3 linked regions of the Lonchura striata genome follow. The protein of the gene in region 3 interacts with the protein of the main gene of each other region in a biochemical or structural test. Links are inferred from orthologs where the notes say so. Each region holds a gene or a part of one and is shown on either strand. Other genes may lie near its edges.

Region 1 (6,927 bases), on a different chromosome or scaffold from region 3:
GTAAAAATGAGAAAATACTTTCTTTTCAGTTCCAGAGTTAAGAGTATATATTCAATGCATTATGTATATCAAAATTACAAATATCAGAGGATAATAATTTATGTGACCTTTAAAAATTTATCAAGTGATCAAATTAATAAAAGAACTGAAAATCTTTTTTTATTTCCAGTGAATAAAGTTTGTATTGGCTGGCTCAGAAGCTTGTCACCAAATTTTTCATTGCCTGTAAAGCAATTACTATCAGAGGTTTTCTGTTTAAACTCTCTCCAAACCTGCAGTACAACCTACCCACACCTCAAAACAGCTAAAGATACATTGCAGTAACAGGAAGATCAAAGCACAATACTTAATACCACATCTTGGATATATCAGAAGGTTGAGATTCCCCACAAAAAGCTAAGCCTATTCCCACCAGAAGAAGAATGTCAGTGTGGTTAAAGGCACAGCTATTTTCTTGCTATTTTAAATCTGATGCTTATGGCAGGTGAGGGGGGAAATCCTCAAATCAGGAGCTTACACCACCTGCCTCCTTTAAATAAGTGTTTTATTTAACATGTTCTTGCACTGCCATAAGGTGCACATCAGAGGCTTCCTTAAGACAACAGAAATAGGGACCATGATGTCCTCCAGGACACAAGTGCTGCTGAGACTTGTTCAATCACACAGAGTTCATGGTCACTAGAGATAATCTGACTTCCTGAACAGGATTGCCAATGAAATTGGATGTAACACCAAGGACAAAACACAAAAGACATAAACACCAAAATAAAAATCTTGAAAACACAGAATAAATATTTAAATATAATACCTATTCTGACTAACAAAAGAGATGAACATAACATTCTTATAATTAGTTTAATAAATTGATTGATATTGAAGCAAACTGGATCAGAAGACAGGCTGTACATGCTAACACTAGATTAAGCAGCTCTTAAGAAAGAGAAGCACAAAATCATGCACAAAATCACCCAAAGACCCACAAGACTAAGGTGTCAGCACTAAAAATAAGCATATGAAAAGTGTCTATTCTAAAAAGGAAAATTTAGTCAAGTTGTGAGAAAAACCCTCAGGTATGGAATACTGTATTATTTCATGTAACTGCTTGTAACATTAAGAATAAAAATTAACAGTAAGGTGGCATTACATAGCTCATGATTTACTTTTCAGACTCACCTGCTTTCCTCAGTTACTTCCATCCAATGCATGTATGTGATAGATAACTCCACAGAGAAGGAGTGCAAGCTTTCAGGCTTTTCTACATCACACAGAATAATCCGCTTGGTATCAGCAAGGCCAAAAGCCAAAACTAGAGAAAGACAAGTAAAATGTATAAATAACCAATGAGCAAAATGTCTATCTTACACTGACCTAGAACTGAACACGCTTCTAACACTTTTAACAATAGTTCTGATAAAGTAGAGGCTTCCAATTTTGCAAACTTGAGTCCAATATTATGTATAACATTGTCCACCAGAAAGATTTGGTGGACAAAAAACACAAATTAGAAGCTGAGCAACTTTTGTATCACTTTCTTCACTCATAATAGAGAATTGCAGGCAGAAGTTTCTCCATTTCCTTCCTTATAATCACAGGTAATCATCTTAAAAAGAAGTTTCTTAAACTCTTCAGATGCCTTCATAAAACAATATAGGTAGTTTTTATACATATGTCATGGAAGAATATTGTTCCCATCTCCCACCTCTAGTGAATCAAAAATTAACTGATTTCTAGCATAAGTTTATTAAGCTACTAATTTCAACATTATTTCTATTAATAAGGAAAAGGCTATGTTTTTCTTCTCTGGTCTATAATTAGAGTAATTTTAGCCTATGAAGTTTTGCCTATGTTAAGTAAGCTAAGCTTTTCAATCAATCCTGATCAAACAGCTTCTTTCCCTCCCAATAAACTTTGTAGTTCATACAAAATATCCTGCTTAATTAGGAGGTTGAAATTTTGCTATACCCTGAAAAGCAACATTTGGCATATAAATCTGAAATCTTTCTTGCAATTGCATTCAACAGTGTTAATATCTCTATTGCTGTGAATGAACCTACATAAAATTAAGCCACCCTTTTCTTCAAACACAGTTTACTTGAAAATTTCCTTCACAGATGAGAGGCATCATCATTCATGAGTTCCCATGGGGTTTTATTGCACCATATCATCTCATATACTTGACATTACTTTTGCCATCTGGTCTCCAAGCAAGAGCAGTCACTTCTTTTCCTGTATTTTCATTTGGAGGCAAACTCCAAACACGTTGAAAGTTTGCAAGCCGATGAAGTAAAACCTATAAAACGAATGCATGAAGACAAACTTAAACCATATTCTCCCATTAATAAAGTTAGTAAATCAGTTCAAGATGCACCTTTTTTACCCGTTTTTAACTCCTGTGTCTTAAACACCACCTGCTCCTCTAGCAGATGATTCACTCCTATATTCTTTTAGAGGGCAGCACATAGTTTATAGCAGAAGAGAGAAATAAGGTGCATAAGGATACAAGCTCCTAACCAACAGGGGTTACCCACCACCTCTCTAGCAGACAGCCCGAAAGCACAAGTCTTGTCTTCCTACATGATCATACACTGCAGTTCCACGGGAAAAAGTACTTAAAATTAGATTTAATTTAAATAGGCCCATCCATGCATTTAAAATCCTACAAACAACGAGCGCATCGTATATGAATTTGTTCGGAAATCAGAATGCAAAATATGAAGGAGCAGTAAGACGCTCGACTTAAAAAATTGCTGTCCTTAAATGCCTGTCGAGACTCACGAGAAACATGCTGCAAGTAACAGCAAAGGCATGCGGGCCTGCAGGGAGGGCAGCGCCGCTCCTCCCGAGCTCTCACCAGCAGCCGCACTCACCTCCCCCGCTCGGTTGGCCAGGGCGATCAGGTCCCTTTTGGGGGACCAGGCCATGAACACGACCTCCTGCGGCAGCTGCTTCTCGCCCACCTGCCTGAAGGCGGGCATGGCTGCGGGCTGCGCCGAGCCCGCCGGGCCTGCTCCGCTTCCGGGGCGGCGCTGCCCGCCGCGGCAAGGAGCGGGGCGGGGCTCGGAGCCGTGCGGGTTATCCCGGCAGCGGGGCGGGGCTCGGAGCCGTGCGGGTTATCCCGGCAGCGGGGCGGGGCTCGGAGCCGTGCGGGTTGTCCCGGCAGCGGGGCGGGGCTCGGAGCCGTGCGGGTTGTCCCGGCAGCGGGGCGGGATTTGGGAGCCGTGCGGGTTGTCCCGGCAGCGGGGCGGGATTTGGAGCCGTGCGGGAGATCCCGGCAGCGGGGCGGGATTTGGGAGCCGTGCGGGTTGTCCCGGCAGCGGGGCGGGATTTGGGAGCCGTGCGGGTTGTCCCGGCAGCGGGGCGGGGCTCGGAGCCGTGCGGGTTGTCCCGGCAGCGGGGCGGGGCTCGGAGCCGTGCGGGTTATCCCGGCAGCGGGGCGGGATTTGGAGCCGTGCGGGTTATCCCGGCAGCGGGGCGGGATTTGGAGCCGTGCGGGTTGTCCCGGCAGCGGGGCGGGATTTGGGAGCCGTGCGGTTTGTCCCGGCAGCGGGGCGGGGCTCGGAGCCGTGCGGGTTGTCCCGACAGCGGGGCGGGATTTGGGAGCCGTGCGGGTTGTCCCGGCAGCGGGGCGGGATTTGGAGCCGTGCGGGAGATCCCGGCAGCGGGGCGGGATTTGGGAGCCGTGCGGGAGATCCCGGCAGCGGGGCGGGATTTGGGAGCCGTGCGGGTTGTCCCGGCAGCGGGGCGGGGCTCGGAGCCGTGCGGGTTGTCCCGGCAGCGGGGCGGGGCTCGGAGCCGTGCGGGTTATCCCGGCAGCGGGGCGGGATTTGGAGCCGTGCGGGTTATCCCGGCAGCGGGGCGGGATTTGGAGCCGTGCGGGTTATCCCGGCAGCGGGGCGGGATTTGGGAGCCGTGCGGGTTGTCCCGGCAGCGGGGCGGGGCTCGGAGCCGTGCGGGTTGTCCCGGCAGCGGGGCGGGATTTGGGAGCCGTGCGGGTTATCCCGGCAGCGGGGCGGGGCTCGGAGCCGTGCGGGTTATCCCGGCAGCGGGGCGGGATTTGGAGCCGTGCGGGTTGTCCCGGCAGCGGGGCGGGATTTGGAGCCGTGCGGGTTGTCCCGGCAGCGGGGCGGGGCTCGGGAGCGGAGCCGCCGCAGCGCCGAGCCAGGGGAGGCTGGTCAGGCTCTTCCCGCTCTGCTTACTTACGACATACTGTTTAGTACTAAATATTTTTTTTTTGTAAACCCATTTTCCATTTGGAGAGAACGTTTTAAAAAATCACTGGCCATCCTGTGAGACGACTGTAATCAACAGAGACTGAATTCCTAGAACTCGTGCCTTCCCATCACCTACCCTCACTTTCTTCCTTGCCCCATGTCCTCCAACATAAAATCAGAGCAGTATCTCACCTCTCAGCAGTTAAGACCCTTAACGTCCAACACCCATCGAATTAGACAAATAGCTAATCCTAAATACAACATTATCACATTATACACACACATGACAAGGGCTGTGGTAGTTCACTTAGTTGTTTGTTGCTTTTTTTTTTTGTTTGGTATCAGTAATGATGATAAAGGAACTGTTAATTCCATCATGTTTTATTCTGGATGTTAGCACTTACATTTTTAGAAAATGGAACAAAAGGCTGTCAATAAAAAAAATAAATTAGCAACTATGTAGCAGCAAAAAGAGTCATGTCATTTTTTTCTTATTCTTTACTTTCCTCTTGGAGAATATGGCATATTTCATAGCTAATCTTTTAGAGATCCCCATTTTTACTCTCTTTCGAGTTTTCTGTCCTTTCTTTTTGTCAGGTCTGTAAAGGAAAAAAAGGAACACAGAGATTAGAATAAAATGAAGAACACACTTCTCTGTACAAATACATTTGCTGGTATTCTAAATAAGTATATTAATTATGTGGTAGTATGTGAAGTACATGGAACATTACCTGTCTCAAAATGTTATGGTCTTTCAAGTTCACAAAACTGTCCACTTTATTGCCATTATATATTCATTTTATGTATTTATTCAGCATTTAAATTTACACAGATACTGAAAACAAGAAACTCACTCATTGAGTACAAAAAAAGCACACACAGTTTCACGCTGAATATATACTGCATTAATATATAATAGAAAGACTTAGAAAAAAGTATGTGAAGTTTAACACCATTAGAAAGCATCCTGCAATTAGTACAAGACCTAAATACAACTAACAAGTGGATTGTTTTCTATCTCTGACAAAAGATGTCACAACACAAAATTCTGAGTAATTGTAACAAAACATACAACATTTTTATTCGAAAAAGAAATCTAAGCTATCTTCTGCAACGAGTCAGCAAAAGAACTAACTGATGGCCTAAAATATTAAAACCATTGCGGCACAACTGATAGAACAGTATCTTCCTTGACAGAAAAAACAGATGAGGTTTCATAAATTCTTTTAGCATCCTTTTTAATTTCTTTACCAAAGGAAAAAGAAACATTAAGAGACGCAATTTTTATGAGAGATATATAAAATGAAACATTGCTACGTTTTGTGTCTAATACTCCCTAAACAAAATCTGGTTTAGTGTCAGTAGGACATGAAGCAATACACCTGTACCCATCTGCTATCCAGCAGGCATCTGGTGAGTCCCTGGATACTGATTCAAGAGGGTAATGGTCTGAGTCTCACTGTGTAACACAGGTACAGCTTTTGGGAGGGAAAATTTGCCTTCCACTGCTACAGCCATTCAAGTCCAGAATCACAGAAAAACCCATTACTCTGGAAAGGAATTTATAGTAGTGCAATCAATTATCCTGAACTGGAAAGACTGAGCCATCTGCTGGATCATCTCTTAGCAAATCCGCTTTCCTCTTTTCAGTTAGTTCCATCTGAAGACAACCAAAAACCATTTACTTGGCTCTCTGATACATACAGGTATGCATACAGTGTTGTTCTGTATGTAACAAAAGGAAAATCATGGAAGACTAAAAGTACTCAATGTGACTCTTGGTGACTCTAATATATTGTGTCTGTTTTCTCTGCCATTGCATGAGGAACTCAAAGGGGATGAAAGTGTTCCATTACTTCAATTTTCAGTCACCTTGACAGAGTTCCATGCACCAGTCACCAAGTCTGAATCCATATAAATCAGTTTTGAAAGAAAACCCACAGACAGGGAATTGGAAGCCCCAGAAAGTGACCTGCCTTTTATCATACCCTCCCTTCAGTATATACTCCCCAACAGTCCAGCAAGTGAGCAATAGGGAAAGCTGACATCAGCACCTAAAGCAAAATATCATCTCCTTCTGAACTGATTCCGTGACATCTCATCTCATCTGAATGCTGTATGTTACTGTACTAATGCAATATGACACTTACTGACAAGCTGTTCTGGGGCGGGAGAGACTGGGACAGGCACTGCGCTTGTGACCTGCCTTGCCACAAACGAAACAGCCAATGTCAGTCTTCTCACAGCTGTGCTTTGGAAGAGCGCAGCACTTGCAATTGTTACAGTGAAACCAAGCTGCAAAATATATAACATTATTTATGATCTTGGAAAAGTTTAAATTGAACATTCTGAAACTAAGCTTTAAAGCCACATTACCAGGTTTTTAATTCTGGATTAGCTTTGCAGAGATAGCTGTAGTCACCTTCGGGACCCTTATCACATTACTGGACATATTGTGCAATTAAGTGTGAATTATTTTGCCATTAGAACTTTTATCCTATGTGTCATCTTCAAAAGAAAAACACTGCAGATGTTACAATGTATTTACAGATTTTGATTTTTGTAACAGTAACAAAGATAACTGCTTCAGCTATTTATACAGAGGCATAAATACAACTAAATTTGAGCATCAAACAATTTTACCATGATCTCTCAAACATTTTGTAATTCCCTACTTGTTTAGAAAATTCAAAGTTTAGAAAATTAGGAAACACTT
Region 2 (7,407 bases), on a different chromosome or scaffold from region 3:
GAAGCCATGTTCACACATCTGTCATATGTCCTTTCAAACACCATGAGGGGGACACCACACAGGTTGATATTGCTTAGTTTGTGCTCTTCAGGAAGATCAAAACTCTCAAAGTCTGTTTAAGAAAGACTGTTAAGTGTGCTGTAGCCTGGGAACTGCAAACTCTTCTAGACTAAATTAAATAGGAGCCAATCTAAAACAACACAGTCTCCTCTTATGGGATATTTACTTGCAGCTACACCTTTCAGTTGTCCATGAAATCCCATACACCAACCCTGATAAAAACACTAGACTGCCTAATAGACTTGCCACTGTAAAGCAGTAACTTCAGCAAACAAAGCATGTACATTTCATCTTTGGCACAGTGGTTTTCACACACATCCACATTAAGAGGAAAGCTTTAAGGACACTTTGAAGGACTGAGAAATCTGAAATGGGATGACTTAAGAACAGCTTTAGAAGTTTAATCTTCAACTATTATATCCTAGAGCAGTAGGAATCTCTTCAATTACAAATCTTGGTAGACTTTTCTGTATCTTGTCACCACAATAAGAGACTCAGAGTAACACATCTGAGGCACAGCCATTACAGTTAGAAATACCAGCTCATTCCTGTTAAAGCATTTCAGAAGCAACAAGCACCCTCATGTTTCAGAAAGGACTCAGAAGAAATGCAATGCTGGCTTGTGTGCCACAGTAGCTTGGACAAATTCTTACAATGCCACAACTCATTAAAGCCTTCTTGCTAATTTTAATTACATCAATAGTTCTTACCTTGAGGATCCAAAGGAAACATATTTTCTATTTCTGGCCAATCTTCTTCAACCACTGTATGGCAGCTTTCAAATCCAGTCTTTTTGTTTGTCATAAAAAGAGAGGAAGTAACATAATTTGAGCTACTGTAAAATATTTGTAGTGGCTTTCTTATGCTATTCAGGTCTACAGACAATATACCTGCCATACTTTTCTCAGTCAGGCCTAAATTCTAATGCCTTCAACACAAATAAGATGGGCAAACATTTCAGCTGAGTTTATGCAGTGCAGTACTATATATGGTGGCAAGAGATGACTGCCCTAGAACAGCTGACTCTTAAGATGTTGATAAGACATTAGCTCAGACTATTTTCTCTATAAGCCTCTACACAGATGCCCTGCTTCTAAGTCGGAGAGAGTTATTTTTCCTCCTAGCAATTTTTATGAACCATGTTTTGGATTCATGATGAAAACTGCTCTTTCAGCTATTGCCAGGCAGTGTTTGCACAGTCCAGGCCTTCTCTGCTTCTCACAACCCCAGCAGTGAGGAGGCTGGGGGTACACAGCCAGGAGAGCTGACCCCAGCTGCCCAGAGGGATGCCCCATACTGCATAGCATCTCAGCAAGGAAAAGTGGTGGGAGAGCAGGGCTGACACTGCTCTGGGACTGGCAAGGCATTAGTCAGCTGGTGGCAAGGAATTGGTTTTGTTTTTCAAGATTTTTATTTATTAAATTGACTTAACTTTAGCCTATTATTTTTCTCACATTAACCCTTCCAAGTCTCACCCCCTATCCCATCAAAGAGGGACTAAGGGAACATCTGTGTGGTGCTTAATTATGTTAGAGTTAAGCCTCAACAGCAAGTAAATTATGGACTTCCCCTCCTTCCCAGCATAAGTGTGTTGTACTCACTTTGTTCACAGTGCAAGGCTGATTTTTCTGTTTTAACTTATCTGTCTTGCTTGTGACGACTTCAGTTTTATTCACATTTCCAAGAGCCTTTCTGACAGAGCGAGATGTGACTGGAGAAGTACTGATTGCTTTTTTAGGAAGTGGAGTGTTAACTTGTGTTCTTTCAGCTAAGGCTTTTGCTGGAATGGGGGAGAAAGGAAAAAAGCAAACATCATCAACCCTAAAGCTTGGCAAAGTAAGTGCACATGCTGGCAAAGTAGCTGTCATAGAAAGCACTGTTCACCATCTATAACTCATAAGCCACACTTATGACAAAAGCACAGAGTTATCGTCAATTTTATACCAACTGATGACCTCAGAAGAATTGGTCAGGTAAGTGGATTTATGAATAGGAAACTATTACCATTAAAAGCAGTGACTAAAACTGATTTATGCCCTTCACTTGATCCCTACTGGCTCAGGGCAGCAAATACGCACAAGATCCTGAAGGGAGCTTCAGCTGACTCTTGGGAGCATGAAGTTCACTATTCTCCTGGTCAACAAAGATCAGAGTTGCCATCTTCAGATTGATGTGATTACTCTGCAGAGGAAAAAGGGAAAGCACTTTTGTCATTTGTCTCATCGCACCACATTTTTAAGCAAGCCCCATTAAAAATAACAGCTATCACATACTAATCTCTAGACAAGGGGAACAAACCCCTACTTCCCACCGTTATAGAGCAGTTCAGCTAAAGACTCTCAGGTTTGAAGGCACTGTTAGGGCTCATCACTACCATTACCCAGGTGAACAAGCAATTCCTCATTAAAGACATCTGCAAGAAAACTCAGTCACAGTTAGTGAGGCTGGAAAGGATCTCTGAATAATCGAGTCCAACCTAAATACAGCCACGCAACTGGGTGCCACATCCAGCTTTTCCTTAAACACCTCTACAATGACTGCACCACCTCTCCTGGCAGCCCTTTCTAATGTCTAACCACCCTTTCTGTCAGGAATTCTTCCTCATGGCCAGCTCAAATCCCCCACAGACACTTTGATGCCATTTCTTTTTGTCCTGTTGCTGGTTGCCTAAGAGAACACACCGATCTCCATCCACCTGGCTACAACCTGCTTTCAGGTGATTGTAGCGAGCAACAAAGCCTCGCCTAAGCTTCCTCTCCTTCAGCTGAGCACGCTCCCAGCAACTCCAAAATCACACCTGCGCTCCAAACCCTTCCCCAGCTTCCCTGCCTTTTTCTGTGCGGAACTCTTTCCCTTTGTACAGCCTGAAGCGGAAGGCAAGATTCACGGTGCCGAAGCCCGAGCTCACCTCAGCAAGCAGCACCACCGGCAAAGCTCAGTCAGGGCGCTCCTACACCCAACGGCGCCGTCTTTTAAACCGGCCCGCAGCCGCCCATTGGCCGCTTCGACCCACGCGCGGCAGCCGATTGGCTGCGCGCGCCGCTCGCGCGCCGCTGCACGCGAGTTCCGGGAGGTGGGTCCGCCCCGGAAGTGAGCGGGGCCGCGGGGCATTGTGGGACGGCGCAGCGGCCTGGCAGGTAAACAGGGCTGGGGGGACGGACCGGGACCGGGAACCGAGACCGGGAACCGAGATTGGGATCGGGAACCGAGACTGGGAAAGGGACCGGGACCTGGACCCTGAGAGCGCGGCTCGGGGCTCCGAGCGAGCGCTGCCGGCCCGGGCCTGGCGCCGCTGCCCCCGGTCGCTCTCTCGCCTCCCTGCCGGGCTAGGGCAGGTCCGGGTCCGGGTTAGCAGTGAGGTAATTCTGTGTTTCTGCAGTGGGGCTCGTTTTCCAGCACAGAGGTATGTCAGAAATGCATAATTCGGGTTAGCTCATTTCCGTGACACAAAATCGCGTTGAAGAGCTGTGATGTCAGAGGGTATTGATGAGTAACGCTTTTCTTTTGTCTTCTATTTTTATTTTTTCCTAAGGAAAAAAGCCAGAATGGCCTCAGGTGCGGTAGCAAACGCCCCTCCTGCAGGGGGGGCAACTGATGTGAGCCTGGAGGAGCCAAAGAAGATGACAAGGGAAGATTGGAGGAAAAAGAAAGAATTAGAAGAACAGAGAAAACTGGGGAATGCACCTGCTGAAGTGGATGAAGAAGGAAAGTATGTTTTGCTAAAGCTGTGCTTATTGTAAAGTGGCTGAGGAAAAATCTCTTTTCTTGTTGTGGTTAAAGAACAATTGTGAGGGTGACACATGATTTCAGTGTGAGGTCCTGTAGAAGTAAATAGTTGAACTTTGTATTTTAATGTTCCAGTCATACGATTTTTTATAGAAAAATGTAGGTTCAATGTTTATTTTCTGTCAGCTGCTGACAGTTCTACTAAAAAGTCCCATCCATGAAGGTAATAGCACGGGGTATTTCAAAAGTGAGCAAGACATAGCACAGGAGTCTTTTACACTGTAGCTCATCTGTTGCCTCTCCCTTGTTTTTGCAGGGCTTGTTGCTTCTGAGCAGTGTTGCTTTTTTTTTTTGCTCAGTAACACTACACAGAATAAGCCATTTGATTTGGAGTCAGGAGTTTAGGTGAATTCGGTGGCAACAAAGCCTCAAAGTCTGTGTTTATTAAACTGAGAATTTATTTTGTGGTGCTTTGTACCAGCTTCATTATTTATTATCACTTGTGCTTTAACGTGAATGTTGTTCATTAGAATGAGTTATTTTGGGCTTTTTCCCCATGCCGTGTGTTGACTGCGCAACATCTTTTGCAGAGATATCAACCCTCATATTCCTCAGTACATCTCCTCAGTGCCATGGTACATAGATCCTTCCAAGAGACCCACACTAAAGCATCAGAGACCTCAGCCAGAGAAGCAGAAGCAGTATAACTCCTCTGGAGATTGGTACAAACGAGGCGTTCAGGAGGTACATATTGTAAATGTAGCCAAACTTAATGGGAAGAAATGACAATGTTTGACTTAATTTAGAAGGCTGAATTATTTCTGTATTATAACTATGCTAAAATACATTAATATACTGTATAAAGGAGGATATTAAAACTACATACTATTTTTTCTGACTTTATTTATAACTCTTACACACCTTGTGATGAGAGAGAGTTTAGACACAGGTGGATTGGATTGGCCATCAGGCTCAAACAAGCCTCACTAGAATTTAATTAAGCACTCACTCTAGGTAAGTAATTCTCTAAACACATTCTGTATAGGAAAAATAAGAAGCAGAAATAGAAATTATTTTCTCTTTCATTTCTCTCTGTACACCTCTATAAAAAACCCTAAGAGGGAGAGAAATGTACTTACACACGTGTGCAAAGCGCTTCTCTCATGAAATACGGATTTGGGTCTATTACACGAGGAGATTCCTGGTTATGTGTTTCTGAGGGGGGCAGGAGTTTTTATTCAGCAGGCAGAACAGCTGTTTGGGCTTTGGGGAGGGCACTCACTCCTGGAGGTGTTTTTGGGATCCCTTGTGAGCTGTCCCAGGGCTGACGCTGTGCTTGCCCCCAGCACGCCGTGGCCACGAGGTACCGCAAAGGAGCCTGCGAGAACTGCGGCGCCCTGACACACAAGAAGAAGGACTGCATGGAGGTAAAGCCACTCCTAGCCCTGTCTTATGGCTGTGAATGCCACGGGAATTTAATCTTTGTGAAGTCAGCTGGCTGCAGATGAAATACTGGGTTTGGAAAAGCTGTTTTGAAAAATGTTACAAGTAGTGAGAGATGGCCTAGAAATTTCTAAAGAAATTATTAATGAAAAGTAGAATTCTGTCATCCATCAATTCCATTTGTAATAGGATCTGAAATAATAGATGAAAATGTTATTTTCTTGTTAATTGCATTAACTCGTGCTGTTGTGTCTGTCTTCCTGCTTCATCTCCGGTAGAAGCCACTCCCAGAAACTGTTTTAATTACTTCCTTAATTGTAGAAAATAGAAATAAGAATTTATGGAGTTTGAAGTCAGCTGTGCTACATAAACATGCAGAACTACTTGCATTAATTTACAGTCCACAGCCTTACAGTGCTGAATTTAGTTTGCTTTAGAGGATCTTGATTGATAATATTTTTAAAAGGATATGTGAGTGAGTAACCTAACAGACTGATATATCTTTTTTTTTTTCTTTCAGAGGCCCAGGAAAGTTGGAGCAAAATACACAGGCATGAATATTGCCCCAGATGAACACGTGCAGCCTCAGCTGATGTTTGATTACGATGGGAAGCGAGACCGGTGGAATGGTTATAACCCAGAGGAGCACATGAAGATCGTAGAGGAGTACTCCAAGGTTGATCTGGTACGTAGGGGCTGTGATTTACTGGGGAGAGAGTTAGTGTTTGGTGTGGCTGGGCTGGGAGGAGGGACACTTGTAATGTGTTCTGCTGATATTAGAGTGGTGCTAGGGAGAAATATTTAAATAAATGCATTCTTTTGCTGCACAGGCCAAACGCACACTGAAAGCCCAGAAGCTTCAGGAGGAGTTGGCATCAGGGAAGCTGGAGCAAGTGGTAAGTCAACTTAGGTAATATGTTTTTCCTTAGGCTGAATAAATATAAAACAGATTACTGATGCTTTCTGACTCTTTAACTCTCTATACAGGGTCTGTTGTTGGGTGTTATACCCTCCCGTAATTTAAAGGTTTTCCTAACACACCAGCACGTTCTGTGTCACACTCAAAAACTTGAAGCATCTTTTTGAAGTGAGAATTGCTTTGTGTTCCAATTACAGACTGAAATTCTGTGTGATTATTATTGTTGCTGAAATTATTGACATGGAATTTTGGGTCAGAAGAGCTTGTTTTCCATGTAGTAATTTTTTTCATATACCAAAATGCTCTTCTCCTATTTAAAGATAAAGTCTGACTAGTACTGAGGTGATGACTGTGCATTGGTTTAGTAATGTTTAATATAATTTGGAACAGAAGATGTTTCCTTAAGAAGAAGCAAATTAGTTTAAGATAAAATCACTGCTCAGTGACTTACGAAATGGGGAAAAAAACAGAGACTTCTACTGGTCAGAAATAGGTTTTTTAAAGCCTCCTTGCAGAGGCTGTGCTGTCCCCTCGTGGGTTGTCACTAGATGGCACAGCGAGCTCGATCTGCCACCCAGCCCAGACTACAGTGCTTTTTACAGACCTCCCCAGCAGAAGATTCTTCCTCTTTTCTTGCCCATTCTATGAAGCAAACACTGTTGGCTTCTGTATACTTATTGCTTATAAAATGGAACTGAAAGAAGAAAAGTGTGTTTGAAATTTAAGAACTGCCTCTGAGAGAGAGGACTGAGAGATTTGCATAGTCAGTGCTGGCCAGTTGCTGGTCTGTGTTCCAGGGCTCACAGTTATTCCCATCTTTACTGCTGCAAGTATTTTTCAGTTAAAGACTAAGCAGGTTAAAAAAATCTGGCTGTGTTTGTCAAACTTGAATTCTGCCTTTTGTGCTTAGTGTTCCTGTAAATCCTAACTAAATTCCTGAATAAATATCTCCTTAATTCTTTTTTAAGCTTTTAGAGTTGCAACTTGGTTATATTTACATTATATGAGATGTTGCAGTCTAAATCTTCAGTGTTCAAAGGCATGGCAAGCTCTAAATAACAGCAACAGTTTTAGAATTTGCTGTTCTTTCAAAGAATTGGAAATTTTGTTGGGGATACAGTGAGCAGTTCTCCAATGTGTGTCTGTCACAGAGAAAGCTAAGAGCATTCTTCTAGAATATTATGTAGCAGTGTTTCTGCATTTGGGGCCAATGGTAAATTGTGTTTTGTATCCTGCATGAAGCTCTGCTTTGATTGCCC
Region 3 (7,007 bases):
ATACCTATGCAGCAATAATTGTTCATGAGAACAGATACCTAAACCATGACTGTGTCTCAAAAAAGAGGATTTCTTGCCCACCGTCTAGGACAGGAACATTAATCTCAATATAGCACAGTAATTTATTTTATTCTAGAAGAAGCACAATGCATATACACAGCACTAGTGGTACACAACTGCTAAACCACACAGAACAGTGTTCTCAGGGCTGCCTCATATGAATGAGAAAAGTTGGAAGTGTTTCCACATTTTATTCAAGTGTGCTTGCAGAGAGGATGAACCTCCAGGTCTTAATCACTCTTTTAAAAAATAATTAATTTGAAATGCAAAATTAACAGGGAATTCCAAAACTACCATACACAGCCCTGCAGCAAGGCAACTTCAGAAAGGGGGGCAGGAAAATAAAATCAGATTCAGAAAGGTCCATCTTCTACCCAGAAAATCCTGTGCATTGTCCAAGTGTCACTTCATATCTAAGCCAAATAGCTCTTAAGAGATGTTCTCGTCTGACAGTTATACAACCTTGGAAATTGTTTTCCAAGCTGTTTAGCCTATATTGCCACGCTAAGCAGATTCTGCCACGATTTCAGTCTTCGGGGTGGGCAGGGAGGAGGAAAGCTCCAGGATGGGCTGTGCTGCATTCCCCAGTTACACAAACTCTGCCCACTGAACATGTTGGTCCTGCAGTTTGCAGCCAAGTTCAAGCACCATTCCAGTGAGTCACAGCAGATGATCACCTTGAACAGCTCAATTCCAAGCAAAGTGCTCATTTTCTTTCCAAGATGTTTTTCAGAAGTATTTGGAAGGCATCCAGCCTGTTTCTTAGCACATGGGACACATGGATTTATGTTGGAGCTGAAGGGTTTTAAATTGACCGTATCCGGAAGTACAGCACAGGGCTGTAAACTCTGGCACTCTCTTCAACTGAAAAGAATTTTAAAAGTTAGCAAAAACCTAACCAGTGGCCAGAATGCCTCCTGGTGCATGAATTTCATGTAATTGAAGCACAACATTTCTAAGGCTACATACAAACACAAATTCTGTTATTTATCTGTCACGCTGTGACAAATAAGTAACATCACAGCTGTGAGGATGTGAGGATGACAGTTCTTTCCTGGAATGCTGAGCCCTGTAGACATCTGAAAGGCTGGGAGAGAACAGACAAATAGACAGGAACAATCTCTGCAATGACAAAAATCAGAACTAGTGTCAACTTTCCCAATCACTTCATTTAAGAATATTACAAAAACAGAGCTACGTATGTGGACTTCAGCTAAACTGGGAATTCAGAAATGCAACGGACTTCACACAGTCACAAATAATTCCTAAACTTACCAGTAACTCCTGTAAGCAAGGAACAGCAGTAAAACTGACAGCAGCAGAACTACTGCTAAAGGAATGATCTGTCATTTAAAAGCAGAATCTAAATAGATATATTAACATAGCAAAGCCTCATCAAAACATCCAAGCTGGGAAGAGGTTAAGAATGGAGAACGTTTTGGATGCATAATGATGCAGAACAGAGCATTAGAGCGGTCTTCACCTTGCTGAATTACCACAAGGCCCCACATTTCTATCAGGGAGCACTCAGGAGAGCGGACATTTTCACTTGGTCAGTCTAGTTAGCACAGCACTGGAAACATTTGGTATTGTTTCCTGTCAGCTTCACTCGTTCACGCTGCAGTGTGATCTTGCTTCCTTTTCTGTTCTAATCCCATGTTTTCCTAGAATGCCCAGCTGGTGCAAAACCACCAGCCCAGCTCGACAGCTGACACCAGTGATGTAGGATGGCCTCGGCAGGAGAGGGACCAGGTGGCCAAAAGCATTTCCAGCACTGCACGACCCTTGCTCTCAGAGGGGATGAGGAGAGCGGTGGCATCAAGGACACAAACCCCTGGTCTACAAGAATGCCCTCATTGTCACCATCCGCCACAGACAGGGCCAAGTCAGCAGGATGGTTTGCCACAGGAGCCTTTCCTCCCCTTCCACCTTTTCATTAGAAAGAAAAGAGCCAAAAGCAAGAATTCTCACTATGTTCATCACAGAACACAGTCATACTCCAACAAGACACTGCTGCCAGGAACTAGAAAAAAAGCCCAAAACATCCTGCTAAAATGCTAAAAATAGACTTAAAAAGAATGGGAATGTGAATGAGATGACTGATTAATGAAGATTATTAATAGTTAGAGAATGGGCATACAGGAACTGCAGAAAGAAAAAGCAGCTTTTAATTCCGTGAATCACGACTTTTGGATGGGAAGGCTGAGCTCAAGAACAGGAAACCCATCACAGTAACTGCAGTGAGACTGAAACACGAGAGAAAAATGAAATTTGCATTATTTTCTCTCCTAGATCTCCCATTAATCCGAAAAATCCAACTCCTTGGGCAGAAGGAACGTCCTTCACTCGCACGACACAGAGGGATCCGAGCACGCTGCGAGCATTTAAACACGACACGGCAGCACACGCAGAAAGGTGAGCGAAGTATCAACAGGTCTCCCGGGGGATCGGCGGGGCCCTTTCCCGGAGCCGGGTCGGCGGAGGAGCGGCGGGGACCCCGGCACCTCCCCCCGGGGCCCCGGGGGCAAAGGGGCGAGCGCGGCCGGCCCGGGGACGGCAGGGAGGCTGGAAGGGGAAGCTCGGCGGGCTCCGGCAGGAGGAGGGCGGAGGAGCTGCAGCTCCAGCGGGCCCACCGGCCGAGGGGCCTCCGGGAGCGGCCCGGAGCCCCGGCCCCGGAGCGGCCTAACCCGGGCCGGGCCAGGCTTTGGGGCCTGAGCCGCCCGGGGGTCGGTACCTGGACGGGTTCCTGCAGCACCGTCATCCTGCTCTCCCCGGCCTCCGCCTCCTGGTCGCCGAGCCCGAGCGGGGCGGCCCCGGTGCCGGCCCGGCTCAGAGCGAGTCACGGCGGGGCCCGGCCCGACCGCGGCTCATTTGAACCCGCACCGACCGTTACCGGAGCGAGCGAGGCCGGCGGGCGCCGAGTCCGCCCGAACCGGCGGCGGAAATAGCCGAACCGCCCGCCGGAAATACCCGAAGGCGGAGGCGGAAAGAGCCGAGCGTCGACGGAAAACAGCTGGGAAAGGCGCGCTCGGCAGCCGGGAGGAAACTGCTCGAGCCGGAGATGGCCGAAGTGGGGCGGAGATGGCCGAAGTGGGGCGGAGATGGCCGAGCCGAGCCGGAGATGGCCGAGCCGAGCGGAGAGGGACGAGCGTGTGGCGCGTCCCCCGGAGCGCCCGTGGCCCGCAGAACTTGCACTTGGTGCCGCAGGGTGGGCTCGGGGGATGCCCAGCTCTGTCGCGAACCCCTGCGTCTCCCGGGGTGCGCGTGGTTTGGCCAGCGGCTCCCGTGTCCCCGCTCCCCGTGTCGGGTCCAGCGCGGCCCGGCTCTGTCCCCGAGGGCTCCGTGCTGAGGGGCTCCGCGGTGCGTCCAGCCGCGGTATCAGAAATCGCAGGGTCATGTTGAGAAACACCTCCCAAACCATCGAGCCGCCTTGGCCATAGGCCAGAGCACTGAGTGCCCCTCCCGTCGTTCCTTGGACATCTCCCTGGGCAGCCCCTTCCAGTGTTTAACAACATTCTGTGAAGAAATTCCTCCCGATGTCCTCATATCCAGGAGTAAAACTGGCAGACCACAAAGCAGGTAATTTGCCCGTTACAGTATCTGACACACAAAGCTTTAGCAAAATAATGGAATAAAGATGTACAAGTAAACCCCAATTTATTAAATATACTGACCTATCAATAGCTGCCTGCAGCTAGCAGAGGCCTTCCTTGTCCAAATCCTGCTGTGGGCTTGCCGTAACCCCGATGCACACACACCTAACTCAGACTCTGCTCAGGGCTTTGGTCAGATCCTGATGTGCTGCCGAACACGCGTGGGCAGGGGCTGTATCTTTATTTGAGAACAAAAGCTGTGTGTGGAGCAGGAGGGGTCAGCCTGCCCTCTTCCCCTGCACTTCTGGAAGGTGTACTTACACATTTGGTATTGGCAGCAGATCTGCGGGTGTTTGCGCTCAGGGTGTGAGCAGGCAAAGCTTTCTTCAATCCTTCACCTGAGACAAATAAATTTTAACTGCAGGGTAGTGCTGTCCCCTGGGATGGACACCTGGTTTCCTAATCAGGTCGATCCAAGTCATTTTGCCAGACAAAAGGAGGGTGACAGCAACATGAAGTGTCTCCTCCTCTGAAGGCCTTTGGCCTCACTTGCTGATGGTGATGATGGTGGTGTGTGACGTGGTCTGGGGCTCCAGGAAGGAGCTTTTCAAGGAGCACAGTCCATATTCACCCTCCTCCTGATCTCATGCACTACAGATAACTCCTCCTGGGGATGAAAGCTGGCTCCATCTGTCTCTCCCATTCCCCAGGGCACAGAACTGACATCCAGACCTTCTTTGGTATGAGAAGCTGTCTTATCAAGCCTGAGGAGATACAGGCTCTCCAGAGCGTGGGGGCTCCTTGTACCTCTCCTCAGAGTCCCCTGGAATTCATGTAAAACATCCAAACTGTAAAAGGTCAGCATTTGCTGTTGTCTTTGGAGATTTGGATTTACAGAGACTCCTCAGTCCTACAGTGCAGTTCTGCCTGTGGGGTCACTCGCTGGCACCCACAGATGCTTTTATAAATGTCCATGGGACTAAAGCTGCTTTCTCTGTGGAATCCTCAGCTTTTCCAGAGGAGGGGAGCAGCCTTGCCAGGGGAAGAGGCATGGAGGCACAAGCAGAGGTACAGACGTACACACTGAGCCTGTTCAAGTGCATCATTCCAGCCTGCTTTGCTAAGCCAGCTCTGCTTTATAAAGAGACACAACAGATCCCTAAAGTGTGGCTGGCTCTTCCCTCTTTTCCTGTAGTTCTGTCATTTCCCACTGCTTGCTTCCTGTCTCTTTGCAGGTCTCACTTTGGTTTTAATTCAGTGTTACTGCTTTCACCATGGAAGCTGGGGGCTCAAACACAAGGTTTGCACAGAGGAGTGAGAGTGCAGCCTCTTGGCTTGCAGGGCAGGGGTATCACAGCTGTAGCGGGAATATCACGCCTAGCAGGGATATCAAGGCTAGTAGGATATGGTTGAATATTGTGGCTACAGCAGGGATATCATTGCTATAGCAGGGATATCGCAGCTCCAGGGCCCCCAGTCCCTGCTGTGGATTTCCACCTCTCCTCTGCTCAGTTCCTCTCTACCACAGCACGTTCTGCTGCAGGAGTCAGTGCCACAGCAGTGACAGGGACAGACGTGACCCTGGAGCGTGCAGCAAGCAGGCTTCCTTCTGGCCCCATCACCACGGTCCTCTAGGAGGTTAAAGCACAGAGTGCATTAAAAACATGAGGTGCCCAGATCCTGCCCAATGGAAGCTGTAGGAATAGCACAAAGAGCTGCTCAAATCTAATCTTGCATCTATAAACAGCTTGTGTTGCTTTTTATGAGCAGTAGAATCAAACAGTGGGAATTGAAAGCAGCTGTTACTCAGCCACTGCACAGGAACGAGCAAAGTCAACATGTCAGAGCAAAATGCCTTCGATTTCTAGTCAAAGACAGAGTGAGGACATTGGAATAAGGAACAAATCAAAGGAAAGTGTTTGCTGCTCCCAGGTGTTCTGCTGATGGGAAGGCTGAGTTATGTGTCATGAATTATTCACTGCTTGTGGTGATGCTCTGAAGATTGCTTTGCAGGTAGGAAGAGGGAGAGAGCCACCAGCTTGTATCACACAGCCCCCTGAGAGCTCCTGGCTGGAACCATCTGCCTGGAGAAGAACTGTCCAGGGAGCCCATCCCAGGCAGGACATTACCCACAGCCCATGGGCCCTCACCCCATGCCATGAGGGTGGACCTGGCCCAGTTTGGCTGGGCCTGGATCTCTTCTTTCCCCATTTTTCTTCTCCCTTGCTGATTCAGCAGGAGTCAACTTGCTGAAAACCTTCAAAACTAGACTTTTGGATGTCTCATTGATACAGAACAAAGAATGTTTTTCATGCTTTTCTGATGTTTTGGGGGTTTTAAGGGTCTTTCCTGACTGGGACAAGCAGTGCATTGATGATCCTCACTTACAAGTCTGAACTCTTCCTTTTCATTCCCTGCCTTTTCCCCCTCTCCGTGGAAATACCCTGTTACCTCTGAGAGCTGGTGGAGACCAAGGGGTCTCCTCCACCCACCGTATCAACAAGTAGCCCCAAGCCAAGGCAGACAAACCATTTAAGGGAGAAAGGAATAAAATTTAATGAGACAAATGTCACAGAGAAAACCTGAAAAGAGTAACTTGAGGTTTAAAACCTAGTTGCAGATGCACTGAGTACCAGGCTCAGGTACACACACGTGGTGTGTGTTTTGCTTTAGGCAAAACATCCCAGGGAAAGGACATGCATGGAGGAGTCTTGCTCTTCATGGTGCTCAGGTGGGTCCAAGCATTTCTGAGAGCCTGGGAGATAAGTGGGGAGGTCTGAATGCAAAGAATCTTTGGGATGAGAGCATTCAGAATACTCTTTCTCAGATGAACCCAAAATGTCAAAAGCTGTAATTCAACACCATTTAAAAGAGCTTTATATGCAAATAGTTATATGAAGAATTAAATCTTCTGTCAGACTTTGCCACCCAACCATCTATGTTGCTGAGCTGATGAACAGGAACCAGAAAGAAATGGATTAAAAAGGAGATAAAAAGGATGCTGAGCATTCAAAGTTCAGACTTCCGTCTGTCTGCATTTTAACCTTCTGATGCTGAAAGAGATTTTGTGAGGGAAGAGATTTTTAAATGTTTAATTTCTGTATTTAGCACTATCTGGAGGTCATTTTTACTTCCCCCCCTGCCCCACCCCCCCAGCCTCATGCCTTTTACATAGCTGAGGGATAGGAGAAATGTTTAGAAAAGTAAATAGATAATGAAATAATAAGAAATTGGCGGGGAAGCTGGGGCCAGGCAGCAATTTGGATTTTCTTTTCAATTTAATACATTTTAGAGGGATAATTCAACCTCAAAGAAACTTAACCTGATCCCCTTGGCAATGTTTCTCTGTTTTCC

Evidence for each region.
Region 1: the proteins of CDC27 (region 3) and ANAPC4 form a complex in vitro, tested with the Homo sapiens proteins (2 studies listed by BioGRID). The link is inferred for Lonchura striata from reciprocal best matches to the Homo sapiens genes CDC27 and ANAPC4.
Region 2: the proteins of CDC27 (region 3) and PTTG1 form a complex in vitro, tested with the Homo sapiens proteins (3 studies listed by BioGRID). The link is inferred for Lonchura striata from reciprocal best matches to the Homo sapiens genes CDC27 and PTTG1.

What each region holds. Positions count from the first base shown.
Region 1 is NC_134606.1:18,430,984-18,437,910, reverse strand, and holds the start of ANAPC4 (anaphase-promoting complex subunit 4), read right to left. Parts: upstream 3,056-6,927; 5' UTR 2,976-3,055; coding exon 2,868-2,975; intron 2,291-2,867; coding exon 2,185-2,290; intron 2,177-2,184; exon of another isoform or gene 2,055-2,176; intron 1,307-2,054; coding exon 1,174-1,306; intron 1-1,173. UniProt on the Homo sapiens protein: Component of the anaphase promoting complex/cyclosome (APC/C), a cell cycle-regulated E3 ubiquitin ligase that controls progression through mitosis and the G1 phase of the cell cycle.
Region 2 is NC_134617.1:10,964,892-10,972,298, reverse strand, and holds the start of PTTG1 (securin), read right to left. Parts: upstream 3,093-7,407; 5' UTR 2,969-3,092; intron 2,242-2,968; 5' UTR 2,221-2,241; coding exon 2,139-2,220; intron 1,841-2,138; coding exon 1,662-1,840; intron 850-1,661; coding exon 771-849; intron 113-770; coding exon 1-112. Other genes in the region: pre-mRNA-splicing factor SLU7, read left to right, coding at 3,606-3,769, 4,377-4,530, 5,133-5,213, 5,750-5,914, 6,060-6,125. UniProt on the Homo sapiens protein: Regulatory protein, which plays a central role in chromosome stability, in the p53/TP53 pathway, and DNA repair. Probably acts by blocking the action of key proteins.
Region 3 is NC_134627.1:8,879,615-8,886,621, forward strand, and holds the start of CDC27 (cell division cycle protein 27 homolog), read right to left. Parts: upstream 3,021-7,007; 5' UTR 2,822-3,020; coding exon 2,795-2,821; intron 1-2,794. UniProt on the Homo sapiens protein: Component of the anaphase promoting complex/cyclosome (APC/C), a cell cycle-regulated E3 ubiquitin ligase that controls progression through mitosis and the G1 phase of the cell cycle.